Linked DNA regions of Nothobranchius furzeri. The protein of the gene in region 1 purifies or fractionates together with the protein of each later gene. This does not show direct contact. Links are inferred from orthologs where the notes say so. Each region holds a gene or a part of one and is shown in the gene's direction. Other genes may lie near its edges. The genes, in order: orc3 and lrwd1.

What was found.
Region 2: the proteins of orc3 (region 1) and lrwd1 purify together in Homo sapiens (affinity purification with mass spectrometry; 4 studies listed by BioGRID and IntAct, with this or other methods). This does not show direct contact. The link is inferred for Nothobranchius furzeri from reciprocal best matches to the Homo sapiens genes ORC3 and LRWD1.

The regions. Positions count from the first base shown.
Region 1 is NC_091758.1:29,118,701-29,133,283, reverse strand, and holds orc3 (origin recognition complex subunit 3), read left to right. Parts: upstream 1-3,867; 5' UTR 3,868-3,963; coding exon 3,964-3,987; intron 3,988-4,093; coding exon 4,094-4,148; intron 4,149-4,231; coding exon 4,232-4,329; intron 4,330-4,402; coding exon 4,403-4,541; intron 4,542-4,636; coding exon 4,637-4,741; intron 4,742-4,836; coding exon 4,837-5,000; intron 5,001-5,077; coding exon 5,078-5,217; intron 5,218-5,297; coding exon 5,298-5,457; intron 5,458-5,531; coding exon 5,532-5,645; intron 5,646-5,728; coding exon 5,729-5,862; intron 5,863-5,944; coding exon 5,945-6,008; intron 6,009-6,080; coding exon 6,081-6,197; intron 6,198-6,295; coding exon 6,296-6,375; intron 6,376-6,574; coding exon 6,575-6,708; intron 6,709-6,775; coding exon 6,776-6,870; intron 6,871-6,949; coding exon 6,950-7,038; intron 7,039-7,124; coding exon 7,125-7,266; intron 7,267-7,337; coding exon 7,338-7,454; intron 7,455-7,534; coding exon 7,535-7,614; intron 7,615-7,918; and 3 more. Other genes in the region: znf292a (zinc finger protein 292a), read left to right, coding at 1-2,717; akirin-2, read right to left, coding at 8,566-8,576, 8,670-8,741, 10,984-11,133, 11,248-11,391, 11,523-11,694; cannabinoid receptor type 1B, read right to left, coding at 13,792-14,583. UniProt on the Homo sapiens protein: Component of the origin recognition complex (ORC) that binds origins of replication. DNA-binding is ATP-dependent. The specific DNA sequences that define origins of replication have not been identified yet.
Region 2 is NC_091750.1:30,540,578-30,556,566, reverse strand, and holds lrwd1 (leucine-rich repeat and WD repeat-containing protein 1), read left to right. Parts: upstream 1-3,169; 5' UTR 3,170-3,241; intron 3,242-3,637; 5' UTR 3,638-3,649; coding exon 3,650-3,753; intron 3,754-3,912; coding exon 3,913-4,147; intron 4,148-4,620; coding exon 4,621-4,740; intron 4,741-4,926; coding exon 4,927-5,073; intron 5,074-5,166; coding exon 5,167-5,259; intron 5,260-5,400; coding exon 5,401-5,739; intron 5,740-5,893; coding exon 5,894-6,011; intron 6,012-6,160; coding exon 6,161-6,267; intron 6,268-6,392; coding exon 6,393-6,603; intron 6,604-6,788; coding exon 6,789-6,861; intron 6,862-6,994; coding exon 6,995-7,138; intron 7,139-7,240; coding exon 7,241-7,347; intron 7,348-10,546; coding exon 10,547-10,708; intron 10,709-11,629; coding exon 11,630-11,739; intron 11,740-12,291; coding exon 12,292-12,453; 3' UTR 12,454-13,095; downstream 13,096-15,989. Other genes in the region: alkbh4 (alpha-ketoglutarate-dependent dioxygenase alkB homolog 4), read right to left, coding at 1,696-2,217, 2,300-2,488, 2,779-2,943; bckdk (branched-chain alpha-ketoacid dehydrogenase kinase), read left to right, coding at 13,889-14,134. UniProt on the Homo sapiens protein: Required for G1/S transition. Recruits and stabilizes the origin recognition complex (ORC) onto chromatin during G1 to establish pre-replication complex (preRC) and to heterochromatic sites in post-replicated cells.

The DNA.
Region 1 (14,583 bases):
AGCTGGCTAGCCCTCCAGTTGCTGGATGTTATCGGGAGAGTAACCTGATGGAAGTATCACATGGATTTCAAAAGATGGATTTGATTGAGGCTGCGCAAGCAGCACAGGAGAAAATTCAAAATGTCTTGGCCTTGGAGCAAAATTCTACTCAAAGCAAGAAAACCCCTGAAATAGAGAAAGGTAAAACACCAAGTAAACGTGATGGGAAGCCTACTGAGAAGATACCTAAACCGTTTAAGTGTGACCAGAATGACTGTGAGTACTCATTCATGACGAAGGAGGCTTTATTCAAACACTTGTGCAAAATGCATGATTATACCAGCGAAATGATCGAAGAGCTCAAAAGAACCCCATCCAAACTGGCTCCATATCCATGTCAGATTTGCTCAAAAACGTTCACAAGAACAACGGGGTTGAGAATTCATTATGAAAAAGTTCACCGTCTGTCAAAGTCAGAAATGCAGAAGTTAAGAATCAATGCTCGAAGTCGGCGTGCATTCAGACTTAAAGATGGTTCTGTTAAAAATAATCGCCCAAGCACTGAACCCAGCACCAGTTGCACCAAAAAGTCTGCATCTGTGATCCCTATTTTAAAACAGGAACCACTTGACATTGCAATTGCACCTCAGCCGGTTATTGAAAGCAACCCAAATCTCCCTGACATCCCTTCAGGAGAGGCTGTAAAACGGATCTCGACACCAGAGATGTCAACTGTTACACGTCTACCGTCTCCACAAAACTATCTGGCTGAAAGGATGCATGAAGACGTGGCACCTCCTGCCCTTGAAAGGCCTCCAGAGCAACCTAAGGTATCTGTCACAGACAGGAGCCCAGAGGTGAAAGTGAAAGTCAGTGTGAAAGAAAAATTGAGTCCTTTAGCCAAAATAAAGGTGCAGCAAGAAAATTCTGATATGTCACAGATTAAAGTAAAAGAACCAAAGCCCTCCGCAATGTCTGCTTCGTCTTCTACAGCTTCTGCATCATCCTCCCCAGAGAAACCAAGCAGCTCTAAAAGCACACCAACAAAGGAGGAGAGAAAAGAAAAAAATCAAAAAAGGCTGAGTTTAAAAATGTGCGACACAGACAATGCCTACAGCCCGTATAGACCTTATCGCTGTGTTCATGAAGGATGCACTGCAGCTTTCACCATCCAGCAAAACTTGATTCTCCATTATAGAGCCATGCATCAGGCATCGCTGCCCTCAAGCAAAATCGAATCCGAGACAGAAAAGGTCGCTGTTGTTGATAGACAGGAGAGCATTGAGTGCATAGGAAAAGATGACGAGGTCAGGTGTCAGGTAAGAAATTGTTCCAGGGTGTTCATGGGTATCACAAGGTTAGTGCAGCATTACCTCTTACTTCACAAGTTCACCTGCGACAAAGCCACTGCCATGATGGCCAGTATGACCCTAGGAACGTTTAACTGTGACCGCCCAGAATGTGCTCTCCCTTTCAACTCCGTGGAGAAGTACATTGAGCACATTAAGAATTTCCACAAAGAGATTGCTGTGTCTGACAGAGGATCAGTTGATCCAACCTTCCGGTGCCAGTATGATGGATGTGACCGTGTGTACACTACAAAATCAAACCTCCTTCGCCACCTGATCAAAAAGCATGATTATATTTATGATCCCAAAGCGAGCGACGGAAGACGAACTAAATCAATCGGGCTCTTTCCAGGGATTAATAACGGGAAGGAGAATGTAGACAATAAATTCAAAATGAAAAAGAAAAACACTAAAAAGAAAGACGGGAAATCCATTGAACACTGGACTAGTTTTGGCAAGCCTACACTAAAAACCCACGAAGAGGCATCAGCCATGTGCACCAAGAAGTCCCCCCTGCAGTATCCGTGCATGATCATCGGCTGCGACGCAGTAGAGCGGGCTGAAAGAAACATATTCAAGCATTACACAACTCATGGCCTCACAGAAAGATACATAGAAGATCAGAGAAGTCAGTTCATTTTCTGCAAAAAGTATTCACGCTCCAGATTCAAAGATGCAAACAAATTAGAAGGAGCAGAAAGTTCTTCTTCTGAAGAGACGGAGCTTGAGGAAAGCGTGAAGCCTATTGAGGGGAAAACGGAGGAGACTTTGGTGGTGGAACAAGAAAAAGTCGAAGAGAAAGTCGAAGAGAAGGAGGACGCCAAGCTGTCCAACGATGATAGCGCAGAATCTCAAGCTTCCAATGGCACAGGAGTCGGACCTAAAAGGGGGCGTCCTAGAAAACCTTCACAGCCTACACCAGCATGTCCAGAAAGGATGCAGACCCTTAGAAACCGCTTGACTGTTAACAGTTCCGGAGAGAACTCAAATCCCGGTACCCCTTCGACCCAAGAGCAACGAGAAGATGGGGCTTCACCGGGATGTTTCAAGCCTTTAGGACTCGAGGACTCCTTCCTCAAGTTCTTGGAAACCTCAGAGACAACAGTTTCTTCTAAACGTAAAATAAATGAGAAACCCAATTCTGAGGTGCCGCACAAAAGACAACAGACTCCCAAACTGAAATCTGGAAGTAAAAGTCAAATGACGAACGACATTAGAGGTTGTGAGAATCTTATAGACTTCAGAAACCCTGTAAAGCTAAATTCTGTGAGTAATGTAAAAATTGTTATGGATAAAACATTTTCAGATGGTGCTGAACTTTTACTTAAGCAGCTACAACATATGAGACCCACGGTTATTATAAAAAAGAGGATTTTTAGTGAATCATAGCTCATTTTGTTGTTGTCTTTTTGTTTCCTACCCTGTCTTACTCAGGATTTGAGACGTTATGCTGCAGAATGATTTGTTTCTTAATGCATCAGATTTCCAACTGTTAACAGTCATGGTCACAGTTAACAATGAAATGGCCTATTTTGTACCTAATTGAAAAAATATGTCTCTGATGATTTTAACTATGTATGTTAGTTATAATAACCAGGTAAGCTATAGGGCATAGATTTTAGAACCATGTTTGTATTTATGCTTAGTACTGAATATGTTTTTTTTCTTTTACTAAATGGACACCTTTTAAAGAAAACTATGTTTTTATAAATATCCCTATGGGATTTCGAGTCCTGTTTGTATTTATTTCATCCCTTTTCAACACTAGTAGACCTATCTGTAATATTTACATGTCTTCCACAAAGTGTTCAATAAAATGTTACTGGTTCTTTTTTATAAAAGCACGAGTGAAATCTTGTCTTTTTAAAAATGTCATCAATTTGATCTACAAATACAACAACACAGCTGCTTAAACCCAGTTATTCATGAAATTGTAACTTCTTGAATTAAATAAACTTTCAAAGATGATCTCATAAACCATTTTAATTTATAGCACATTTAAAAACGGCATGATCAAAGTGCTGTACACGGAAGGATTAAGATTCTGGGAAAGGGATAAAATGCAGCATTCACAAATTGGACGAAGCTAGAGCCAGTTTAAAAGATTTAAATTATACTTTATTATAATCTGCAGAATCACATTCATAATGTATTGTCAATATGTTTACTTTATTCATAAGTAGTTTATGAAGCTGTTCTGAATTTATAACAAGCTCCATTTTTATTTTTATTTAAATTCAAATAAAGCCAAATTACTTTTAATCTAAAACTAAAAGATGTGGTAAACAAGACTAATACACATTGTGGATTACATGCATTTTATAATACACAGAAAATGTGTTTAATATTTGAGTCATTCAATTTTTAGACAGCTTTGTGATATTTAAATATAAACACACAAAATAAAATATATGTGTGTGATCACGGTTACATTTTGTTGTCTATTATATTCTATGGCGGCATCTAATTATATGCTATAGCGGCTACATCTAATTATATGCTATAGCGGCTTGCCATACATTCTAACACTTCCAACCTTTTCCGTAAACGTCACTCTGGCGGGAAGTCGCGGCTACGTTTCATGAAAAGTAGCGTTTTTTTAAAAAAGAAACTACTACAAAGAGTTTGAAGAAAGATGGCCACCTCTTCTGTTTCAAAGGTAACTTCTTATAGCTTGTTGTCGTTCAACGACGTTTCTATTAACAAAAATGGAGACCTCGCGATATTTGCGTCAGACTCGACTGTGTTTTGCTGTGTCCCTTTAGGGCTGCTTTGTTTTCAAGCCCAGCGCTAAAAAGAAGAAAAAGACCCTTGATTTGGGTGAGCTATGTTACATTAGACAGAGAAGAGTTGTTAGTTGGATCTGTTTGTTGCGATATAAACGTGTCTGTATTTTTACACAGAGAGCTATTTCACTGATGGCTGTGAAGATGCACGGAGCAGTGAGTTGAGATTCGAGCTCTGCCAGGATCTGTGGGACCAAATCAAAACTGAGACAGAAGTAAGAACAAATTATAATATCAAAAAAATACAGAGAATGTGCAGATCAGCATAATCTTTTTTTTTTAAATAAGATTTTACAGGATGAGCTCAACAGAAAAGTTCTGGACAGTTTGTTGGAGTTCACCAAAAAATGCTCCTCCATCCGCCATCACAGTGACTGGACCTCACAGATGAGAGCAAGTGAAATTCCCACAGCCGCTCTCATCCTTGGTACCCAGTAGTTATTGTTTTGTTTTTTCAAGCTGCTAACTTGCATTATTACAAAAATCCCGCAAGCTGCATTTGACTTTCATCTCTCACTGCAGGCGTGAACGTCACAGATCATGACATGACCTTCCAGAGTCTGTCTGAGCTGCTCCAGACGTCTGTCACCCCCCATGTGGCGTCTGTGCAAGCCAAAGAGTGTGGAGGTGATGGGAAAAGCTTCAAAATATACAAACGCGTCAGGATTTTACTGTAAATGTCACAATATTCAGGAGTAGACTTTTTGGTTTTATTATTTCAGCTCTTAAGCATTTGATGAAGAAGGTTCTGGAGAGATTGATGGACACGGTTGTAGCTGTAGGTGATGATGATGATGATGAGGTGGAGGAGGAAACGGAGCAGCACCACAGGAGTGTTCACTGCTCCTTGACGACTCTCTGCGATTGGTATAGTAAGAAAACAAAGGTGAGGACACGACGCAGGTCCGCTCATGCAGGTTTTTAATTCGGCGAGGTGAAAACAAACGTTTTCTTGGGTTTAAGAAATCCAGCAGTGGAACTCCCGGAAAAAAGCGCAGTTCTTTGGTCGTTAACGAGCAGCAGGAGCCTCCGGTGGTGATCGTCTTCAAAGATTTGGAAGCTTTTAATCCGAGAGTTCTTCAGGACTTCATCCTTGTCTGCAGGTGACTTTAGAGCAGACACGTGAGAAGCTCTCACGGTTTACGTTGGAAGGTTAAAACTGCGTCTGATGATTGATCCACAGCCGTTACGTTCAGCGTCTTCCCCTGATGTTTATCTTCGGGATCGCCACGGCGCCCAGCACCATCCAGCACATGCTGCCTCACTCTGTGTCCTCGCTGCTGTGCATAGAGCTCTTCCAGTCCCTGTCCTGCTCTCAGCATCTCACCACCGTCATAGAAAAGGTGCCTTCACCGTGACATCTGTGCATGCTGATCGAAGATTTTGAATCTGATAAAAGTCCATCCCTTCTTTCCAGTTGATCCTGACACATTCTTTTCCCTTCAAACTCAACGGGAAAGTGATGCAGGTGCTGGTGGGCATCTTCCTCTACCACGACTTCTCAGTCAAAAACTTCATTAAGGGCCTGCAGGTGAGGATCGGGGTCTAAACGAGTAAGGTATGTAAATGTAAGGGACTGATTTTCTCCCGACTATCTTCCCGTCCTGGGTGCAGCTGGCCCTGCTGGAGCACTTTTACTCGCAGCCCCTCAGCGTGCTGTGCTGTAGGAAGGAGAAGGCTCTGCTGAACCTGAAACACCTTCGCCATGATGACCTGGAGAGGGTCAGGCAGCTCCCGTCGTTCAGGAGGTGAACAAAACCAGCTGAGATGATCATTTTCTATAACTGAATGAAAAAAAAAAAAGCTCTTTGTGTTAAAATTCGTTTTTAGGTTTGTGGAAAAGCAAGAAATAGAAGAGCAGGAAAAGCTCAGGACGGATGACTCTCATTTAAAGGTTTGTTAAAGATTTCAGTTTTTAGACGACTTTTTTTTTGTGCACAGGATTTTATCCTTTTTGTGATTTTAGAACGTTTGTCAAAAACTGATGAAGGATCTTCACAAATACCACAAGTGCTATTATCCCATTTTGAGGTGTCTCCACACTCTGACCTCATCGTTGCCTCGATACCCTCTCGGAAAACAGGCAAGAAAACAGTTTTAAACTTTCATTTAAACCATCTTTTTGCTTTGGTCTCACTTCGTTCTTTGATTTTTGGAGTCTCCTTTTTCTTACTGCTGCAGATCAGGGAGCTGCACTTGATTTGCCTGGAGAAGAACGTGTGGGAGGCGGAGGAGTACCAGTCAGCTGTGAATCTTTTAAAGTAAGCTGAGCTCAACATAAAACTTGTAATTTTTTTATTTTTTGAGGCATTTCTATTTAGCTATTTTGATGTAAACGCAATGCCATCTCTCCATTCAGTTGCAGCCAGTTAGATTTGCCACTAGGTGGCGACAAAGTTGTGGGATTTTTAGAGGTGTTCCTCCCCCTGGTGGTCAGTATTTTTGTACTTTTTTCTTCAGGATGCTGGCGAAAGACGAGCTGATCTCTTTGCTGCAGAAATGTGCAGAAATCCTGCAGCCCATCAGGTCAACTCAGATGAAGAGTGCTTGCGTCCAACTGGAGGAACTACTGTCCAAATTCCAGCAGCTGGATGGTAGTTCAAAGCAGGATTTTTAAGTTTTTTTTTAATTTATGATCATAATCTTTTGTTGTTCACACAGCACCTGCTACTGATCAGAGTACCGCTTCAGAGGAAAACTTCACCTCTCCAGTAAAAAACCTTCCAAAGAAAACAGATCTATTCCAGCTGCAGAAGGTACGTCCATCAGACATTTTTTTCTGTTCTTTGACGAAATACTTTTTTAAAGCCGTTTGGACATTTGATCTACTTGCAGACGCTGCTGGAGTCTCGCAGATCCAGGAAAAAGAGTCCGTTTGAGGCTCTACGTAACGAAGCTCTGGACTTTATCGACACTTTAGTGAAGTAAGAAATGAAAAATAAAACTTAGATCCACAAGAGTTGATTAAAGTAACAGAATAGCTAATTTAATGTGTATTTGTGCCAATCAGGAGTCACCTATCCCCCCCAGAGTCTCAGCCGCTGTATGAAGTCTGCTACTACAGTTCTTCAGCTGCTGTCAGACGCCACCTCAATGCTGCACCTCGCACCTCCATTCAGGCTGCACTCAGCAGCCCCTACCACTACCTTCAGGTTCGTCTTCATAAAACAACAGATTGCTCCTGTGGACGACGGTCAGATGTTGACGGTGGCTTTATTTTCAGAATGAGAGCTTAAAGTCCGACGACGGCACAGTGTCCAACTCTGCTCCGGATATCTGCATCGCATACAAGCTCCACCTGGAGTGCGGCCGACTGATCAACCTCTACGATTGGCTGGAGGTGAGTGAGACGAGCGTTTAGCTCCAGAGATGAGCCGATTTTCTGTCGGAGAGGTTTTGTTCGACTGTTTTTGTTTTCAGGCGTATTCCACCGTGATTTCTGCTGCCGAGGGGACCGATCCAGACTCCGACGGCTTCGGGAAAGTGGACGAAGTCAAACAGCATCCTTTCTGATTTCAGTTTCTCTACTAAATCTGAAAATTTTCAGTTAGAAAAACAAAACTAACAGTTGAGCAGCTGAAGTTTTTATTCAAACAAGAAGGGAAACATAGTGACACTTCAGGGAATTCACTTGTTTCACATGTTGAAGGGTTACACACACACACGCACACGAAGCAATTATGTCATTTTACTTTTTGCCCCTAGAAAATGTAACAGTCCTTGACAGCAGATGTGATCAGACTGATTTCATGGAAATCAGACAAAAAGATTTAAAATTTGTTTTTCCTCAACTTTTCCTTTCAGCGCTCGTTTCATCCGCGCCGTGGCTGAGCTGGAGTTTCTGGGCTTCATCAAGTCCACGAAGCAGAAGACCGACCATGTGGCTCGACTCACGTGGGGAGGCTGTTGATCTAATCTTCAAGGGGGGAAAAAAAACATAAATCTGTGGTTTTTGTGCTAAGTTGGACTCAAACGCACAGTTTTTCTGTAAATAAAAATCAAATGTCCCTGATTTTCTTAAGAGATATCAGTAAGGGGTGGAAATCTAATTAAAAAAAAATTAGCCCTCACTTTATGCCTATTAAAAAAAAGAAAATCACTAAAGTTCTTGCACTCCCTTTCAGATTGACCAGCAAATCCTATAAAATGTTAGAGATTTCCTCATATTTACATGCAACAAGTCTGGAATGCTGGGAGTCATTACAAAAGTAAGATAGCTGGAGGGACAGAGGCCACTGGTGGAGACGGGGGCCGCTCATTTACATCAGGAAGGACACGGCTGCTTACAACACACTGCCAACAACAGCTTCATTCAAACCTTGTTTTGCCCAACAGACGTATGGCACGGTAAAAAGTTTCATTTAAACTAGCTAAAATCAAATCTCTCCCAACGAGGAACTCTTAAGAAGCATCATGACGAGCTCGCTTCCTGCAAAGCGTCGGTGCCACACTCAGGAAACATCTGGAGAAGAGAGATGAAATACACAAACCAGACCCGTTAGCTGAATCCAGGCCAGTGGAGCAGGAATGTGGAAAGAAAAAAAGAGGAACTCACAGCTCGCCGGCTGCTCTCCGAATCGTCGCATTAACTGATCGTGTGTAAATTTCACAAAGGTGTCGTATTGTTCTGGAATTTCAGAAAGGAATCGGTTAACGCTGCCGTCACTCAGATGCAACACGTTAAAAAGGAGAGGTTGGGGAATTTAAAAGCATGTCTGGTGAACTAAAATGTGTTACAGAACATGCTCCATCTGATGGTTTCAGCAAGTTTGTGATTTATTCCTGCAAAACAACAGTAACCTCAGTTTAACTGACACTCTGGACATTTTGATCAAACACCAGTGCTGGGAGCGTTGCTATTAAAAAGTAATTATAGTTACGGATTACTTTGTCAAAAAAGTAAGTCAGTTACAGAGTTACAAGATTATAAATGTAACTAATTACCAAGAAAAATATTTTGTTCCTTTTTTATTATTAAAGCAAGAAAAATGGGGTCCCTTCTTAATTAAACTTAATTGACTATAAATTATAATAGTGAAATATAAATGACTGGAACACAGTAAAACATATGTCCAAGTTTTTTTTTCAAAAAACTGAATCATTGAAATAAATGAACACTTAACAGGAGGAACTACTAACGGGAACATTACACTTATCTAGACTTTTAAAATGTCACTGTGTGATATTTAACAAGACCCGAATCAACTAAAATTTACTATTGCAAATAGAAACACATGTAAAGGTTCCTGAGCCTTTAAATGGTCTCTCAGTCTAGTTAAATTACTGAAATAAATGTAATTTTGCACAGCATTCTAATTTGTCCAGCTTCACATAACTGTGTGTTTTAGTAGCATTTCTGTTGCTGATCTAGTAATGGTTAAATAAATAAATAAAAATCCTTTAAAATGACACTAGAAGAGACACAAATCTGATTAAATTTACTAACTTGGGTCAGACCCAAACACAGAAGAGCTGAAGCTGGGTGGTAAACACACACACAGGTAGTTCTGGTAACACCTTGAGACTGATGCATCAGTGTTACAGCGGGACTAAAATGATCAGAAACAGGTCACAGCTGGATGATCTAGGAAGGTAGAAGATCAGGACGTCCGAGCGGTGAACAGGTGGGCGGACCTTCGGGACATCCTGCTCAAACTCTGCGACTTCCTCGCAGCGCAAATATTATGAGTCATGTTTTCACACCGTACGACCCGGTTCTCGGAGGCGACCTGACTGCTCACACCGCACGTCTGGTAGCAACACACTGGATCTAAAAACAGCCGTTTTTACACGACACGTTGGACTTGTTTTTGTGTTGTTATTGATGTCTGTTGTCCTTCGGGAGTGCTGCAGGAGGACACGGGTTTAAGGGGGTTGGAGGAGGAAGACGAATGGAAAAGTAGATTAACGTTTTATCAGTTTAAGCAGCAAACATGCTTTCTTGACTATCGTAATTGTGTGCAAAAAAAAGCGTATAAATAAAAACGAACAAGGCGTGTATATAGGGCGAGCCGTGCTGACGCATGTTAGTGCATGCGCCGTGAGCGGTTCTGGTACTTTTTGGGTTGCAGCCGCTTGAAGCGCCGCTTCAACAGAGCAATACCCTCACGAGGGATGAGCAAACTAGCAAACGCCAGAAGTTCCTGCGAGCTTATGATTGCTGATCCATAGCTGGTCACGTTCAGCGCAAAACTCACCCCGATCTCGGATATTCTCACACGAGGAGAAAATTGGCTCAAAAAAGTGAAAAAATCGTTTAGTGTCCATTTACAGATCAGCACCCAAAGATCCTAGATGACGAGCGAAGATGAGTCACGAACAGTAAGTTGAGTAGATATTTACATTTTACTGTAATGTCTAGTGGTTAGTAACTGGCAAAGTAGCTTGAGATATTCTTAGAGCAGACAATTTGTTTTCTATTTCACTGTTAGCTCAAAGTTAGCCTCTAGTTTACTTTACCCGATAGAGTAAAACAAAATGATTGCGTGGCTTTTTAGAGGTCGCGAGAAATAACTTTACAGTCGCTCCTGTTACTGGCTTAAGATCTTTCCACACCGCTGCTGCTTTTTGGGGGGCTGCTGTTGAATAAAAGATGCCGGCACTGCAGCGAAGACTTGGAAAATTTGAGGGCTCACGTACGACTGGCTCTGGAACCAGGAAGTATGGAGGCAGGACAGACTGTAAACAAAGACCAAGTCCCTCTCTGGCCATTTTGAAAGGAGAAAAACTCAAACCCCCAGCTAGCTGTTTCAATTGAACCTTCCTTAACTTTACTGAGACCTTGGATAGTTTTGTGATTAGTTCACTGTAAAATTATTATTTATTACATCCCTCTACACAACATTGATCTGAACTGCTTCTGCACCAACCTGCCAACTTTGAAGTCATGGTCTCCTCATACTCCTCTCGCACCTTCTCTTCCCTTTCTTTCAGCAGGCGCTCACAAATCATCCCAACTTGTCTCAGAGTGAACAGAGGTTGTTCTTTTCTGGTTGGAGAAACGCCTCCCGAGGATGTCCCTGAAAAAAAAAAACAACAACAACATTAGTTTGAATATAGAACAAGGTGTTTGAGTTAATGTCAAAGCCATTTCATGAGTTTTTTTTACTGACTGGATTTCCACTCTCACCAACCTGGCATGCTGGAAACATTCATGGTAGACGCTTGGGAAGGGGACTCTGGAGAATAGCAGCACTCTGATTGTTGGATGCCTCCATCTGGATGCTTCCTCTTATGAATGCGTTTGTACTCTTGTTTGATGCTGTTGAGGATTTGTTCTAGTGGGTCAGAAACAGAAATGGGGCCCATCGGGTGTTTAGGTAACCCGTTTAAACCGGTGTTTGGTGATTTTTAGATGTGTGGATCAACATGTGTTAATAGGCCAGTTGGCGGACAGCAGTGGCTTTACCTGCGCTAAGTCTGGACGACGACTGTCCAAACGGTGAGGGCTCCATGCTGAGGTACTTCCTCGGGGAGGAAGACGAAGGGGGCACGGGGACACATCTTCGTCTTTTAGGTGAAGCAGGACTCATGAGCGGATCGAAATCCATGGTCCGTTTTAGGGTGGCTCCACACGCCATAACTTCAACTTGTGGAAGGTGGTTTAAAATACTGGCAATAAAGCAGTAATTAGACAACAACGAACCATAACTAATGTATGTTCTCAGTTTAAAGTAGGATTTGTTTATATTATCCGATAAATGCCTTTTAAACACTGCGCTGTTCTGCTTTCCTAAAAGAAGCTATCGTTAGCAAACCGATAAAAAAGAAAACAACGGTAATGCTAGCTTTGGATGTCGCTAAACGAGGGTGTCTACATGTCTTTTTGAATAAACTTAAACGTCTTACCTCTTGTTGCAAAGCAAATCTATCCGACAGCGTTAACCAACTCTTGGTGTTGTTAAAATTGTTTTCCCAAAAAGTTAAAGGGACGAGCAGCCAGCTGCGGGCCAACAAGAGCCAACAGATAAGGACTATAGCTAACGCTGCTAAGCAGCCTGTTTGTTGATTCGACACTGTCGGCTTCTTTGGGTTGTCACGTGACGCGCCAAACAGGGACGCTAGGGGTTATGGGTTATGTAGTGAAAAACGAGAGGCGACAAAATGATCTTGGACACGGGACGAAATACGGCCTCAATTAAGCTAAATTTATGCTTTTGATATTAAACTTTTGAATTTAAAAGTTATTACTCTGCTGACGTAGAGTATTTGTTCATCTTTTCTTTCTGCCTAAATGAGTTAATCCACAAGAGGGCGCTTTGACACACCCCAAATAGGAAAAAAGTTGAATTTACAAAACTTTTTTCTCAGTTAATTTAAATGCAATCACTATGAGTTTCTTAATAAAGATTATTTGCGTTGTTAAAAATATGAAAATAAAGTCCTGCAAGATTGCACAGCAGAGGTTTAGCTGAAATGCTGTTTGTGTACGTTCCAGTGTGGTTGCATTATTTGGATTGCATTTAGTTGTTGGGATGTGGTTGCAATGTAACCAATTCATCATATTACCGGTAATATACATTACCAGTCCTCTAAGGCTGAACTGCTCACAGTGATTTTATTAGGTTAATAAGTAGGTTAACAGGTGTTATGCACATACATAAAAATAAAAACCATAAAAATAATATTTATATGCATGTCATTTATATTATTAATAAAACAAAGCAGAGGATTAAAAGTGGGGGCTTATTTATTTTATTGTGGAAAAATTACCAGACAGTTTGACAAAAATAGATTGACATGTTTACTAAGCACATGTCAGTAAAGTGACAAAATGGCACATTTCACAAAATATGGCTGTATTACATGTAATAAAAGCAAATTTAAAAAGCAAAACCATGCAGAATTATAAAATATCACACTTAAAAATTATTAGATAAAGAGAATTAGTTCAAATATAATAAAATAAATAAATAAATAAGACGATATCCATACAAAATAGTTGTGGCCAAATTTTACAATTCTATGGTCTTTACATTTGATAATGACACTGTACAATTCACCACTAGCGACAAGCTTCTTTTATTTACAAGCATATTTTCTCACACTGAATATGGTGCATGGGTTTGTCTTAAATCACCGGCACAAGATTGCTCATATTATGTTACAAAATAATCACAAAAGGCTATTTTTTGTGTTTGTTAAAAGGAAAAAAAAAACCTGCATTTTCAAATAAAAAAGATTACATTTTTGAAAGTTGTCCCAGAAAAAAAAAGAAAATAATTACTGAGCAAAATGTTTTAGAAATATGCATTTTATCAAAAGTCAAGTCAAAGTCATTTTATTGTCATTTCTACCACATGTGCAAGACATACAGAGAAATGAAATTGAGTTTCAGTACACACAATTCAGAGATCAGACATACATGGGCAAGACACATGACAAGAATTGGTGACTGTGGTCATTCGCAACACGAGTCGCGCTACCTTAATAGATGAGAAGGAATTACATGAGGATAGGTTGGTGGAGGGAAAAAAGTACTGAATAAGATCAGACAATCCACAATACAATCAAAACTCATCCTGTTTATCTCAAGTTTTAACAATAAGTTCTCATTAAATCCCTGCAGTTCCACACTGCACCTAAGTTATTTTGGCACATTTCACAGTAACAAAACTCTTCTGTTAACAAACTCAACTAAATTTCCAGTTCTTCACACTTTTGCAGCACTATGTTTTTCAGACAGGCTCTGCCGTGAAAGTATCTGTACCTCCAGATATGGTGACCTGGGCCACTTTTACTTGGGTCTTTCTACAAACACTTCCATCTTTCCCCACCCCACCTGCTGCCGCCCTCACACTCCTGCTGTTCCAGTCGCTCTCAGTGCTGTAGTCCAGAGTCTGCGTCCCTCCTCGCCACATGTGACAGATGTTGATGAAAGCCCTCCTAAGGTCCTTGCTCCTCATGGCGTAAATGATCGGGTTCACAGTGGAGTTGAGCAGGCACAGCATGCTGCAAAAGGCGAACACGGTCTTGATGAAGTCGTTCACTTTCCCAAAGAGGTCGTACACCATGATGGCTAGGAGCGGGCCCCAACAGATGATGAGAGCCACCAGGATCAGGACCAGGGTCTTAGCCAGACGGAGGTCCATCCTGGCCTGCTCAGGCCTCACCGTCTGCACCTTTGCCCCCTCTGCCGTGTAGACAATCATGCTCCTCTGAGAGCTGCGGCTCAGCATGCGGACGGCGTGATGGTGAGACTTCCAGAGGATGAACATGTAGGCGTAGATGATGAACAGCAGCAGGATGCTTGTAATTCCAATCCAGAACATCAGGTACTTCTGGTCGATCAGAGGGAAGATGTCGGAGCAGACCGAGCCCAGACGCTTGCAGTTCCAGCCGAGCAGCGGCAGCAGCGAGATGACGATGGAGATGGACCACATCAAACTGAAAGCGATTACCGCCTTAGTCTTTGTAACGATGCGCTTGTACGCCATGGGCCTGTGGATGGAGATGTAGCGATCAATGGC
Region 2 (15,989 bases), on another chromosome or scaffold:
GCCCCGGGGTTCGCGTTGACAAACCAGGGGTGTTCTTCTTGACACGTTTTTCAATAAAGCCCTCGCTGTTTTACCCGCCCTGTCTGTACTGAACACGGCCGGTGATTCGTCATGCAGAGGCTGTCTAAGAGCAGAACAAAAAGGCTGTGTGTGCGGGGACTGTACGCAACGCAGCCAAGCTAACAAGCTACATTAGAAAAGACTCTCCGCTTGATTTCCGTCGTCAAATTCAAGTCCGAGACATACTCGCTGTTTGTCGTAGCTGCTGTCAGAAAAGCGGCTTGACTCCTGGCGACGGTGAGTAAAATCTCCCTGAGATATCAAGCCGGCTTACAGTTGGGCGTTAATGAGCAAAAGGAGAGCGATCAACAAACAGGCTGAGCAGCTAAAGTAAACACGGATGTCCGGTCAGACTTTCAAAATAAAAGCATCGGTCTACATATACTTGTCTGTTAAACATCAGCAACATCTTAATAACTGCTCCATTCGAGTTTGAACTTTTTTACTTATCACAGTTTTGCACTTGTATATTTAAAATAAAAGACAAATAAAAAATGACTTAAGCCGGACTGAAAAGGCTACATATAGTTTCATAACTTCTAGTCTATTATTATAAAAAGAAAAAAAATCCAAGATGCCATTTCCCTTAAATGAAGGAGATTCTTCTTTTTAATTTATTATAGTCAAGTGCACGATTAGCTAGACTCAGATTACGCTTGACAGTGTTAACATTAAATGTTGTGCCATTAATAAACAAAAAGTCTAAATAAATTAAGCAATAACTGCTGCGCCTCGCTCAACATAGGGCCTTTTTAAACGTAGTGATGTGAGAAATCTCACTTTTTGGTCAGTACTTTATTTGACACTATAAGGGAGGGAAAATAAATACCTTTTTTTATTTAATTTTTGTTATTATAATTTTGTTTTTCAGGAAGACGTATTTCATTATAAATCAGCAAATTTATTTGAAATATTTATTTCATTCAATAAAAACAAAAAATAATGCACTCTATCAACAGAAAATGTATGTAAAAACCTTCACATTTAATAATTAAAAAAGATTTTTTTCGAAGACTAACATTCTATTAGAATAAATTTATACCTGTTATTTTACTCTAGGAGTTTAGCGCTACCTACTGGATGGAATAAAATGTATACGCAAGAAACAGAAAAGAAAGAAAAATTTTATGAATTCATCTCAGTCATTTTCAAATGCACCCTGGTAAGACAGACTAAATCAATATATTATTTAACTTTGCAAAGCAAGATTTTGGTCTAGTTCACTAAACCAATTCAAATGTACTTGATCTACATAAAGCCGTCATTAAAGCACAGACTTAAAAAGATATTTATTTGGGAGAAAACATTCCATATTTGTTCATAACGTTACATTGTGTAGAACTTCGCTTGGTGATGTAGTTGTCACGCCTTGGTGTTTATTCTAGAAACCCGCACGCAGCAGGCCTCAAATAACTCACAGCCACACTGATACTGGAGATCACACAGTGCTGGTGCTTTATTATAAACTCATCGTCCTGCTGTCCTAACAGAATGGTGGAGTTGCTGTTCGGTGACAATAATGCTTTACCGTTAAAACATAAGTTGAAAACTCCAGTTATAATTAGTCCTTTGATGTGGCACAGTTTCAGACTGAGACACTTCACGTCTACTTTGTCCAGCTTTTTCTGCCTCTGTTTATATTGGAGTTCCTCCGAAGCTTAAAGCAGTAGTCAACAGTTCAGCTCCCAGCTTCGCCTGCTTCCCTCCAAGGAGGAACTCTGCAGACAGCTCTCTGTATGTGCTGCAGACCCTGCGTTCATGAATATCCTTCCTATGAATTGCATGTTTCCACCTATGCCTCGCCTCGCCGTATAACACAACTAAACACCTGCGAGGAAGTCGTACAGCAACCTGGACTTCCTCTGAAAGTCCCAACTCTGGCAGACCCTGCTCAAGAGACATGGTGAGCACAGTTTCTGATAACATGTTGATGGTGACCAGCCGCTCCCCCCACAACCAGGAGTCATCCAGGTGCGGATCAATGGCTGAGCCTCTCTCCGGAGCGTAATCCAGATTGCACTGCTCCACTGGTTGAAAGCCCGCAAGATTTGCATCTTGCTGCATCCGCAGCACCAGTTTTTGGCTTAAAGCAGGAAGTCCAGTAAAGTCTGCGATGCGCACTTTTCTCTTCTTGAAGTTTACTTTAGGGCCAAAGTCCTGCAACCGTGTAAAATGAAAAATTTGAATGTTAAAAATATGTAACCCACAAAAAAGTACATTTTCATTAAATGTTTTCCACCTGTTTCCTTCGGCCAGACTGTGAGGGATGCCACACATCCTGGTCCATTACGCTAATCAGCTCCCTCTCCTCCTCCTCTGATATAAAGTTCTCCCACAGGAAGACTCCAGAAAAAGGGAAGGAAGAGCCCTCTTCATCTTCGCTGACAGCGAGCCCCGTCTTGGCATTATAGAGGAAATGATGCACAATCTTCATACCAAAAACAGAGATAACATTAATAAACAAAAGCTGTGATGACATGTTTTAATTATAAAATTTCATTTCACAATAAGTAAAGATACATGCCGTCAACATTTAAATAAACCAGGGTTGTATCTCATTATTTAAATCAAATTTACAACATTGTACCAGAATATTGTCAGAACAAACAAGAGTGATTTTTGATAAACAACACAATTTGTCCAGTGAGGGCTTCCGTACCAAGGTTTACAGACGTTACATCGCACATTAAAACTGAGATTTTTGTTCGACACACGTACCTTTGACTCTCTTGTTTCAAGCAGTACACTCGCCTTAAACGTTTCACAGACAAGACAGCGTCGGATGCCTTTACAAGCGCATGGAATAACCCCGTCGCCGTCGTCAGAGACCATCATCATCATGTTGCATCTTCTTCTACTTGGAAATCGTAGCTCCACTGCCATCTAGCGGACGGAGCCGCAGGCGTAAAATTACTTCTTTTAACCCCTATTTTCGTTCTGCCGCACTGTTATTGGCGCATTAAAATTTCAAATAAAACAAAATATGACAATACTTAGTAATATATGTGATAAACAAGAAATATAATAATCGAAAGTCGTATTTGTTTGACTTGTCTTACAGCCAATGTTCAGGGTAAACTGTGGCCAAAGTTTTAGGTAAACCACGCCCACCGGATGTAGACGGAGTTTCCCCGGGAAAGGTCAGTTGTGTTGCAGACACAAAAGTTGCAGAGAGGAGTTGGTAAGTAACATAAAAAATACTTTATTAAACATTATTAAAGGTGTTTGCTCATTTGTTATGGCTAGAAAAAGAGTCAGTTATATTACTAACTACTAACCTAGCAAAGAGTTGATTAATCGATCGTGTCAACGTGGTTATGCTAGCTACTGCTAAAGTAAAACCAATCGAAATCAAACTAACAGATTCAGTTTTACCTTGCTGAAGCATGAAGTTGATTTGGTTATATTAAATTTTTCTCAGTAAAGATGTCACTTGGCAATGGCATCGTCTCTTTACTAAATGAAAAAATGCTAAATATTTAGCTCGTTTTAAGTACAGACATTATTTAAACTTATCAGGCCATACAACTTAATCAGTGAGTGCGAATAAAAGTTTAACATGTTATTTTGCTGATAGATTCCACATTAGATGTCCTTTTCCAGCAGATCAGCTATGGAGAATGTAACAGAGAAGCTTTTACTGGAGAAAGGTTCTCCAAAAACCAACAAACTGGAGCAAATCAAAACTCTGAAGTAAGTCTTCCCCCTTGATTAACTATTTGTGTGTTCTGGTGAAGTCACTCTTTTATCAGTTGATGACTAATCGCATTTAATAGTAAAATTAGTTTTACTTGCAGATATGAAGCTTGATCTAAAATCCCCATGTTGACTTGACGGGTTTCTTCTATTTAGTCTGTCTAAGATGGCGCTGAAGCACGGGGATCTTCCTGTGAAGCTGCTATCCCGCCTGCAGTCCCTGGAGCGGTGGGATCTATCCGGGAACAGGCTGCAGGAGCTTCCAAAGAACCTGAAGCTACCTGCACTTCGGTACCTGGACCTCACCAACAACCAGATGGAGGATGTCACCACCTTAGAGTCTCTGAGCAGCTTGGAGGAACTAAAAATGGATGACAACTTTTACATCACAGTGAGGACTTGGCTGTTTTTGTCGCATGTAATCCAGTACCGTTCCGTCTCTGTTATAACATAAAGGACGGAGCTGCCTTTTTAAAATTCAAACTATTCGATTGGTCTTATTTAAATGAGTGGTTTAAGTATAATTTCTGTCTTTGAATTCATCTCAGAACTTTACAGAATCGTAAAACGTTACCGTGGCATCTTTTGGAGTCTGGTTGTTACATGTGATGCAGTTTTTCCACCCATGACTATTTTACCGCGACAATATCCACATGAGGTGAAAAAAACAAACCAAAAGGAAGTTTTCCTCTAACGCTGTCATCAGATAACTACTTCAACAAGTCTAGATGTTTTATTAGCACGTCTTTTTGTTCTCTGCAGCGCTGCAGCTTTTCCTTTTTGTTAGATATTCCTTTATTTTTGTCTCAAACTTTAAAATTCTCTTTTACAACTGAGATCAAGTCCTGACTCTGTTATTTTTAGATAAGTGATAGTTACAAGCTGATGGTGTTGCTGCCCAAACTGAGGATTTACAACAACAAAGATGTCAGCACCACTGCCAGCCACTTACGATACGTGTTCAGTGACAACCTGAGGACCAGGGTATGAAAACCGTTTAATACTTTCGTTTGAAAACATTCATGATGATTATTCATTAGACTTTGAGTTAAGCTGTGGCTCTCGATTGCATCACACCTCTAATGTTGCATTTTAAAAGGAAACGACCCAGCTGCTGCACTTTCTCATCATATCCCACACTTGGGTCACTCAGCTGCTGCTTGATTTCAGATAGTCACAGTTTGGGAGCGGAGCTTCAGTCTCCCAGATCCCATCACGGCCGGCAAAATGTCCGATCTGGAGAAGAACTTTGTGAACGCTGCTCGTCATCAAGTCAAATTTGGTCCCAGTTCAGTCAGCGATTTCACCAAATGGAGGGCAAGTCCTGAATTTACAAGGATCTCTGGGACTTTTTTGCTAATTTTCATCCCTTTTTAACAGTTTTGTTTTTACTTCCTTTTGATTTTTCAGGTGGAGATTCTTGCTAAAGAGCATCTGCGCTCACTGACACAACCAAAAGAAGACTTCATCCCCAAGGAGTCTGCTGAGGCCACAAAGAACTGTGTAAGATTGCTAATCAGCACCTTTTATTTAAACTTCACTGTTACAATACTGTCATTGGCACAAATGGCGTCTCTAAATAAAACTTCTTGCTGTTTCTGTTCAAACTGGGTCAAACATTTTACTCTATCTTCCTTTTCTCAGATAATTTCCTCGCCTTCCAAGAGGAAACGAACCAAACTGGTGACAGATGATAAAGTAATTTTGACGCCTCACAAGAAGTTGAGAGTCAACGCTCTAGAATCTTCAGCTGCTGAAGACAGCCCTCGCAAGTCCCGCAGGGTCTCTCTCCGGACAGACGGGGCTGTCTCCACTCCCACCAGAGGACAGGCGAGGACAGAGACGCCCAGGAAGAGGTCTAAATCACAGCAACTCGAAGAGGAAGAAGTTCGGGTTGAACAGAAAAAAGAAGTCAGCAAAACCAAACAGCTGCACAGGAGTCAGTACACTCTGCCTATAATAAAGATTTGTACTAAGAGTCAGGTAAAGAAACACACAGATGACTCCTTTAGATGCTGTAGAACCACAAAAACATTCCAGTGTCGTCGTTTATTCCGTACAAGACACAATCTTGTCAGACAACAACCCACAGGGGTTTGTGTTCGTTCTCATCCGTCTCTTGTGTGTGATCCTCCAGCAGCCGGTGCATCTGAAGCCTCTCCACGTGCTCCAGTGTCACAGTAAACAGGACAGCTCCGGGGACTTCTCCACGCAGCTGTGGGCCTGCGCTTTCCAGCCTCTGTCAGGCTCCTCTGGTACTGATGAACCCCTCTGATCCACTCAGATTTATCAGAACAAGTCCTCCGTGGTTTACAGCAACAGCTGTGTATGAAAGCGGATAGCTAACGCTTTACTAGAGTTGTTTGTGAGGCTCTGAGCGAGCTGTGAAACCCTGCTTTGACAGGCTGTTGCAGTGAAAGCCGCCTGGTCGCTACATGTGGAGGAGACTCTCTGTGTGTGATCGACTGTGAAACGGGAATGGTGATGAAGAAGTACAAAGTTCCAGGAGAGGTGTGTGGGTTGACCCTAACCCTTCTCTGATCCGTACAGAGCAGAGCGACTGTTCAGGTTTAGCAGTTAAAAGCTGCTGCTGTGTGGCCGTTGGTGCTGAATTGGTCTGCTGTTCCTTGTCACAGGAGTTCTTTTCCTTGGCCTGGTCCATTGTGTTGATGTCCCGAGGAGGAAAGGCTCCAGTTCAGCCCTGCAGCATCCTCGCTGCCGGTGGGAAGAGAGGACTCGTCAAACTGATCCATCCCAGGAACAACGTGGCCTACGGCGAGTTCAGAGCCAGCAGAAAGGCGCTCTCTGTCCTCCGCTTCAACCACAATCAGGGAAACTTCTTCTTCAGTGAGTTTTAGTCGGGTCAGACTCAGGAACGGGCGTCTCTCACCAGCTTGTGTGATGATTCTGTTACCTGCTGATCTGTATGTCACCTCACCTGACCTGATGAAAACCAAACAAAGGTCTGGGATTTTTCCCGTTTAGTTTTTAAACGACGCTCCTGATTAACGTCTGTGTGCGACCTCTTGCAGCCGGATCTTATGACAACAAGATAATCATGTGGGATATCGGAGGAGTGGACAGCAGTTACAACTTCAAAGTTGTGTGAGTTTCTTTTATTCTAACTTGTGGAATCTGCAGTTTGGATCTCTACCCGACGTTAGCGGTGGAAAACCAGGCCAGATTTGAGTCAGTCATGTTTTCTGCTTCCTTACCGTCTCTCATTCCTCCCCACCAGTCAGCTGCTGGTGTTGGAGGTCAGCGCCACTCCCCTGCACATCTGCCTGCCCCCGACTTCCCCCGGCTCACACCTGCTGACCGCCTCAGACGACGGCCTGCACTGCTTCAACACACAACTGGGTACCAGCAGCTCCACAAAGAGGTAAAAGCATTCAGTGGATGAATAAGTGCAAAAGGGCAAAGTGATGATGAGGATCTTTAAAGCGACACTTGGATTATTCAGTAGCCTTTTGTTTTTGCTCAGCAGGTCAAATGAAATGGAGATTACGTTTCCCATTTACGAGGAGGAGGATAAAGAACATGACTACCACACTATCGACGGCCTGAGCTTTCTTACTGATGACATAATAGGTGCGTGAGGTTCCTCTATTATGTTCCATGTTCTGTTGCCGTCGTTCAGTTCGTGGACCGAGTCGGAGCCAGAGCCTAGACTGAATCAGAAGCAGTTCTAGTAAATGGTCACATGGTGGCGCTGTAATCCAGGTAGAATGTAGCTTTTATAGTGAGTATCACACAACAATCTGTAAAACTGACCTGCGATTGATCTGGTTGTTTATTTATTTGTCTCACGTTGGCTTTAAATATAAACAAGATGGCTCGGTGTCCTGTGGCTTAGAGCAAAAACACCTCGCGCTTCTAGAGTCCGAGTTCACTTTTTAACTTCCTCTTTACCGGGTTTAATGCAGTCCTTTTGACACAGCCAGGGGAAGAAGGGTCACAGAAATGAACATCGTGAATGATTTGGTAGATCCTTCTGAAGACATGACATTCCCAAGCGTCCAGGAGGAGCAGTGATGTCCCGTGTGCTTTCCAAACCCAAATCATAGATTTCTAGATCATCAATTAGAATTTTTTTGTTTTTGCAGCCAGCCCAGTTGATCAATCACTCAATCAATCAAAGCTTTATTTATAATATGATTGAATATGATTGATTGATTGACAGTTGATGGTGCAGATTTTGGCTGGTGAGATGGGCCGAACCCTTTATGCGGGGAATTCATAGACATTAAAGACCAAGTTCACTAAGAAAACCTTTTTACTTGCCATTCGGCGCTATATAAATAAACTGAATTGAATTGAAATGAAACAAGATCAGTCCCTTCACATGCAGGCTGAATGTGAAAACGGTCTCCTCCCCTACCTCCTGCTTTATTATTTCTTGAGAATAGAAAGTAGACGGGGAAACGCTCAGACTAGAAAAGCCGGTCAGATCTGTGTCATACTGGACATTAGCATTCATGGACTCACCCATCTTGACTTGTGACGGGATAGGCTGGTTTTGATTTAGCATTCTGCAGAGAGATCACATCTCGGCCAGTAGAAGCTAACTGTTAGCATTAGCAACTCCACCACACAGCAGAACTCCTTCAGGCTTGTGTTATTTGTGGAGATGAAGCATCAACAAGCGAACAGAGGCAGCGGAAGCGTCTTGTTGCTGTTATCCAATTAGATGCATGATGTCTGCATATCAGGAAATAAGACTCCAACTCATGCTGCGTTCCCCTGATCTTGCTAACTTCTAGTTCCTGAAACAGGAGCGCTAGAGCTTTTTTTTCCCCCAGAAGTCGACTCACAAGCCATTCGTTTATACCAGAGACCACCGCAATTCCACAGAAAATGAGTGAACTTGGTCTTTGAAACAAAAACGTAATTTTTCATCAAAATACCGGATTTCTCACAATTTCAAATTGTATTGTGTTCCCATGTTGACGGCCCAGCATGGCCTCCTCCCTTCCTCCAGTAGGTATTATTAAACTGGTCCATTCAAAGACCGATGGAAATGTTCATTTCTCCCTTTTCTGTATTTCCTCATTTATTTCTTTTCATTTATCGTTTTTTTTTTTTCCATCAGCCACTTCCTGGCAACTGGAGGAAAGAGATGTTAAATAGTGCAAAAATCTAATTTCAGTTCATGTACATTTGGGTAATCTCTTCCACAACTGTACTCCTAAACGAGTGAATAACATAGAAAACCCCAGAAGATGTGATCAAGCCATTGTCTTCAGCAGTATCTGTTCTTAGGACGCCCGGTCCGTTTCAGTTATTTGGGAGTGCTTAAATGCATAATGATGCAGATGTCCCACCGTGATGGAATCAAGCTCGTCTCCCTCAGTCTGATCACCGCTCTGCAGATGGGTGCTGTCTCACACAGAGAGCTCAGGCACGAGTGCTGAGCCTGCTGCTCCACACCCTTTTTATCCACGACAGTGGAACAGCACAAGCATGTGCTGATCACACTCACCGGGCTATTCACCATGTGGAGGGTGGGGTTGAAATACGACAGAGGTGGCAGGAAAATAATCTTTCCCCAGACACAGATAATACCGAGAGGATTACTGATTGGATGAGACATTTCGGGAGTCAAGACAATAAAATTCCTCTCAACACGCATCAGCGAGGATCTCACGCTGTCTTTATATGAAATCTTTAGAAATTTGGCAACCAAAACTCCTTATTACAAAGCAAGCTCTCAGAGAAACGGCTTTTATTGTTATTTAGTAAATACGACTGGTCACTCTGAGTTTAACATGCAGGCTGAACACGAATTCTAAAGGCTACAGCGCTATGTCACAGTGAAAATTAACATTCATGGACTCACCCATCTTGGCTTGTGACGGGGAAGGCTGTTGTTAATTTAGCATCTAGGAGAGAGCAGAGCGCGTTGTAGCTAGTAGAAGCTAACCGTTAGCATTAGCAACTCCACCACATGGCAGAACTCCTTCAAGCTTGTGTTATTTGTGGAGATAAAACATCAATGTTGCACAGCAAACAGTCAGTGGTAGGGTTGCGTTGCTGTTATCCAATCAGAGACAAGATGTCCAAATAACAGGAAGTAAGACTCCAAGTTGTCTGCTGCTCCCAACTGCTCTGGCTCACTTGTAGTTCTAGAAACAGGAGCCGTAAAGAGATCGACTCACAAGGCATTCATTTCTACTAGAAACCATACCAAGTTTATTTGTACAGCACATTTAAACACGGCATGAGGGCCGACCATAAGCTGAACAAAAACACAATAAAAACAATCAAAAATAAAAACTAAAACCATTCAAATCGAGTAATCCAACTCGAAAAGAAAAGGAGAAAGAGAATAAGTTAGACTGAATTAAAAGCCAACGAAACCCCTGCAGATGTGTTTAAAACAAGAGTGAACTTCGTATTTAACCTCCGCAGAGGCACGGCGGAGAGCGACCCACCAGCTCCATCACTGCGTGGCATAGAAACTGCACTATGCAGGAGAGGAATCCTTACCTTCTCTCCTCTACAGGACATGTGCAACAGCAGGGCGTGGAGAGAACACACCCTGCTTCTCTCACAGATGCAGGGTTAGGGTCTGCTCCAGAAATGAGAAAATGACAACGGCAACAAATTTATTCCAGTGCCTGTTCCTCCTGACTGCTGCTGAAGTATCATTGAGACCCGTTCAAAGCTTTTCTACTCATCGTCTCTAACATTGGTTTGTTTATGTCATGCGAAGCAAACCAAGTAAGGATGTAACTGCACGTTTTTTGTGTTTTTAATGTTGACTACCTTTGTCTGTTTTAAACCAAAGCCTCTAAGAGCCACATGCACTGTTCCATCTATCTGTGGAGCTGGAGCAGGACCAGGTCTCAGCGGCCCAACAAGGAGAGCAGATCGGTGTGTGCGGTGGTTCTGGCTGAGCTGCAGTGGGCCAGTACGAATATCCCCTACCTGGCTCTCAACACCTGCCCTGGTAAGTGCCATATCATCCACTCGTTGGTGCAGTGCAGACTGTCATAGCACAATTCTTGCTTTGTAGGTTAATTTAAAGGTGTGGAACTCTGAAAAACATTTTACTGGTTATTTCTGATTATAACTGGCCACTGTGAGTATTTCATGCAGGCTGAACATGAAAATAGTCTCCTACACCTATCTCCTACATTAATCTCTGCTAGACAATGGAAGGTGAAACTCTAGGATTTGAAAAGCCTGACGGATCTACGTCACACTGTCACTTAATATTCACGGGCTCAGCCATTTTAACTCATACGGGAAGGCTGTGGTTGTTTTAATGTCCGGGAATCAGCAGACAACATATCAAATCGTAGAAGCTAACCGTTAGCGCTAACAACACCACCACACAGAAGAACTCCTCCAGGTTTGCGTTATTTGTGCAGATAAAACATCAGCGTTGCAAGTCAGTGGTAAAGTTGCTGTTGTCCAATCTGAGGCGAGGTGTCCAAAACCAGGAAGTAAGATTCCAAATCCTGCCGTGTTGTGCCGCTCTCTGCTGCAGCGGTCTTGTCCGTGCTGATCCAAGCGTCTCTGGGCCCGAGTACGGCTTACCAGAGACCGCTGCAAACGTATTGATTACATTTGTTTTCAAGACCAAGAAACGAGAAAACAATTGCATACTTATTGTAAAGTTGCATAAGTAAATCAAACGAATCATATTAAAATATTTTTGTGTGTTTTTATTGAAAGTAAATGTTTGTGATCCTCCAGTTGTTTTAATTTGGGGATTTTGGCCAGCAGAAATCAGCCTCCCTCTTCACAAATGTTTATTTTTAAAGAGAGTTGTCCCTAAACCACCACAGTTATTCTTCTGACTCTGTTTGGATCCAGATGTTTAATCATGTTGGGTGCTTTGTCCTGGTGTGTGTTTTCCTTTTAGGGCGGGCCTACATAGCATGTGGCGATGACAAAGGCCGAATATGGACATATCACGTCACCAGTCTCCCGAAAAACAGCTTTCAGATTGGAAAACCCATTCCTCCCACTCAGGTGTTTACTTCGACAAAACAATTGGGTTTTCTTCTTAAAAATAAAAAATGTTATGCCTCTAAAACTGTTGTGAAGAAAAAAAGAAAAGGCATTTGCTTGGTTGCACAACTGTACTTGCTGCTCACAGTAACGTGAAACCGTTAAGTTAATAGTAGACATGTGAGAACACCGTTTACTGAAAGGCAGCCAGATTAGGGGAGGGGGGCAGTAAACAACCAGGATGTAAACAAACCTCCAGATCAGCCAAACAGAAATCAAACAAATCATCATCTCTGTTTCAGTTTCATGCTGTTGTCTGGGCTGTGTGTGCACCCATGTTTAACTAACACACCCATAAGAAGGTAGAGGAGGTAGCACCAGGCCTAACTGTAATTATGGTGCTAAAATGTTACCACGAGCTACAAAGTTAAGAATGTAAATGTATAGGTTAGGCTTTAGGTTGAGAAAACGTAAATAAAATTGACACAGACTACTTTGTACACACCTGTTGAGGTGTTGTCTGTTTTTAAATGACGTAATCCACTGAAGCTTGGTCCTTGGTGTTTCTGTCAGGTGTTGGAGTGGCCGTCCCCGACGAGGAAGGGCCTGGGCCTGACAGAGGGCCCCTCCATCAACAGTGTAGCTATGGACCCAGAGCTTCGCTACCTGGTGGCCCTCACTGATAAAAATATGGTGATCGTGTGGAGGAGAGAGGACGTGAACTCAGAACTGTAATGTTTGTTCTGTCTGAAATGAGCTGGAAGTACCACATGTTGGTATTTTCTACGGTAGTCAGATTACTAGCTGAAAATGTGAATTTTTATTTCACATTATGGACGACACACCCAACATCTAATAATCCTCTGAAGGAGCAGACACATTTTTAAATATATTTTGAAGAAATTTATTTTCTCCACCAAACAGCATCGTCGACTTATTGATGACAATTTTTTAAAATTCTATTTTATCTTTTTGTGGAAATTTACTTGAAACTTAGATTGACTTATTTTATTCTTTTTCTGTTTTATAATATCTTTTTTTGTCTGTGGAAATAATATTCATTGTTTGAAAATGATTCAAATTTAAAAGAAAGTTATTACAACACTACACACACTTAAAAAAAATTTCCAAAGATGAGAAAAATCATTCACTTGTCTTCTGAAAAGTCATTCAGCTGATGCTGCTTTAACTGATGTCCTCCATGTCTGCAGGATGCATAACAGACAGCTAACACATTAACCCCCATGTAATTCTGTTACTCCCACTGTCTGAAAGATGGTTAAAGTTAAACAAAATCAAAGTAATGTGAAGTTTGTTACTGGTTAATGGGTCTTTTAGAGTGCTGAATGAGCTGAGTGTTAAGATTTTACTTGTTTTGTTTTTGTTTTGTTTTTTATTGTAACTGTATTTTTTAGTCTTGTTTTTTATTGTAACTGTATTTTTTAGTCCAAAATGTTGCTAATTTTGTTCCAGGTTTTGTGAATAAAGTAAGATTATCTGGGAGAGAATACAGAAAATAAAACAATTCTTGTAAAAAATTACATGGAAAACTTTAATTGAAAAAATTGTCTTTAATTATTTAACACAACAAACAATAGTTTCAATGAATGTTCCCTAAAAGTTACATTCTGAACAAACCTCTAGGGAATGTTCCCTAAAGGTTGCACTGAACGTTTTCTGTGGGTTCCAGGAATAAAGACCTCCAGCTTTCAATTTGACTTTCATGGAATCTTTGGGGAACAATTACTGCAAGTTCCCTATAGATTGCAACATTAACCTTTGGGAACTGTATTATACAGTAACACTAATATACAATATTTGTACCATATAAAGATGTATCTGTTCATATTTTCTTAATTTTTGTACATTACTCCTACCAGTCTATTAAAGGCTTATGAGCGCTCATTCCTCACGAGTACAGTAGTCTGTGCCGTGGGGGCGTGGTTGTAACATAGCCCCGCCCCTAACCGGCTGACCGATTGGCTCAGCAATCATGTCGTCTCCTTGGCTCTCTCCCACTGGCCAATGCGCACCAAGGCCTTTCTGTCCCCCTCGCTACTGTATTCAGATTCATGCCTTTGTGCAACAGGACAAGACCCTAATGGCCTCATAGCCATTTAGTATCCTGGAGAACTGGCCAGCTCTGTTCGCGCTCACGGCTAGCCCCCAAATGCGTCCGGGACTTGTGGGTAAAGCGGCCGAGATGCTGAGCGGTGTTAGCAGCTTAGCCAGGCCGAGGCTCAGTAGCCTCTTACTGGTCCCCGCTACCAAAACATCACCACCGATGTCGGGCGCCGGTAGTCAGAGGTTTCGCTCGACATCCTCGGCGCAGGGATTTTCAGAGCTGGCAAGAGAGCGGTCGAAGACTGTCACTTCCTTTTATAACCAGTCTGCAATCGATGTTTCTGCAGAGAAGGTAAGAACTGGGTTTTTATGTCATTTTTCTCCTCCTGAAAGGCGAACGTGCATCTGTGGCGAGGAGGGACTGAGCTAGCCGCCGCTTGATAGCAAAGAAGCTAGCCGTTAGCACGGTTAGTGTTGCGTTCAAGGATAAGAAGAAATAGCAGTAAAACCGAATTTTTTTCAGGCTACTTTGAATAAATAACATGTAAACCAATGAAATCAAGTTCACATGTCACGGACCAAGTGAGAAAATGAACCTCGTCATAGTCTCTCAACTAAAAGATTTTTGTCTCCAGAAACACCGAAATTCGGATCATTTAAATATTTTTAATTATCTCCCATTTTTCCGTTTTCAAAATGAAAATAAAATTACATTAAAACTCTAGAGCGTTTTTTGCTTACTTTACACAATTTAAATTCATTATACGTTAAATATACTTATTACTTAATATGTGTGTCTGTAATTTGTGAAGTAGTCACGGAGCGGCTGTGCTCTTTTACGTCACTTTGAACGCAGCGTCGTAAAGAACATCTTGTGTAGCGAACATCCTGAAAACGAGCTCAAGCACACATCCGTAGAAAATGCATGAAAACGGCTGTCCGTGCAAAGATGTAATCAGAGTAAAAGTGTTTACTCGTGAAAACAACTTAATACGAACCTTCTGCGAAGCACTAATCATTACTATCGTTATTGATAAACAGTACAAACAACAGGTAGAGCTTCTCTCACTGGCAAAGCCAGGTGTTTTTGTTCCTGGTAGAAACCTTTGTAAAGTTTTTTTATGGTCACGTGTTTCCCAGATGTCTGTTGTTAGCAGTTTTCGTCATCCAGTTAGTCATCCAGAATTTCCAAAGAAGCTCTTCACTGCAGCAAAAGAGGAGGGAATTAGTAGACTCGTGTTGTTTTAAGTTGCACAACTAACACACTTCTTCCGCAATATTAACTTTATAAAAACACATAAATCTTTATGCTATATAGGGAGATGTGTGAATATTGTGTGCATTTTGCATGGCTGTGCAACTTTGTTGCAAGACATTAGTGCACCGGGACAGTTTTCCATTACCTGTTATGGTTGAGTTCACAAGGTAATAGAAGAGACAAAGGGACCATATTTAGGTTGGTGCTCTTGTGGAGCTGAAAGAACTGTGTCAACTTTTTTATCCTCCACTTGTACTTTTAAGTTTTACATAGTCACACACATTTGTTCTCTTTTACAACTTTATATTAAGGTAAACAATCTTAAAAATGTTTGACTTGGGTGTTCTCGGTCACCTGCAGATGTGGTCTAACCGGTCCAATCTTGTTTTCCTATTTATCCAAGTTACAATCAGCATGCTCATAAAAGGAGTACACTTGTAAAATCTGATTGTATTCAGTGTTATGTTTACACACACTGAACTGTTGTGAGAATAGCAAATGTGTACTTTTTCCAGGTATTCTTTTACATCCACACTGAACACAGTTTGAGTTTCATAACATTCCCTTTGTTTTCCAAAGTATGTAATTTTATCCAACTGCAGCTCCAGGACATTCATATTTAGTATAATTCCCATCATTTCCCATCTCTTATCATTTGGTTTTTCTAAATCTGAACTTTATTTACTAAATTGATAAGATAATTATGTAATAAGGTAATCAACAATTCGTTAGGTAGATAGTAACATACTTTGTCAGCTTTGTCAACACAAAGGGATACTTTGCAATGTTTTCATATTTTTAAAATCACTTTCTTGAGCCAGAATGTGCGAAAACAACTCTTTACAGGGTTAATGAAATGTCACTCAAACCCCAAACGCCCTCTGAGGCCAGAATACCGCATTTGCAACTTCAGAGTGTCAATCCGGTCAGTTGGAATTAGAAAAAAATT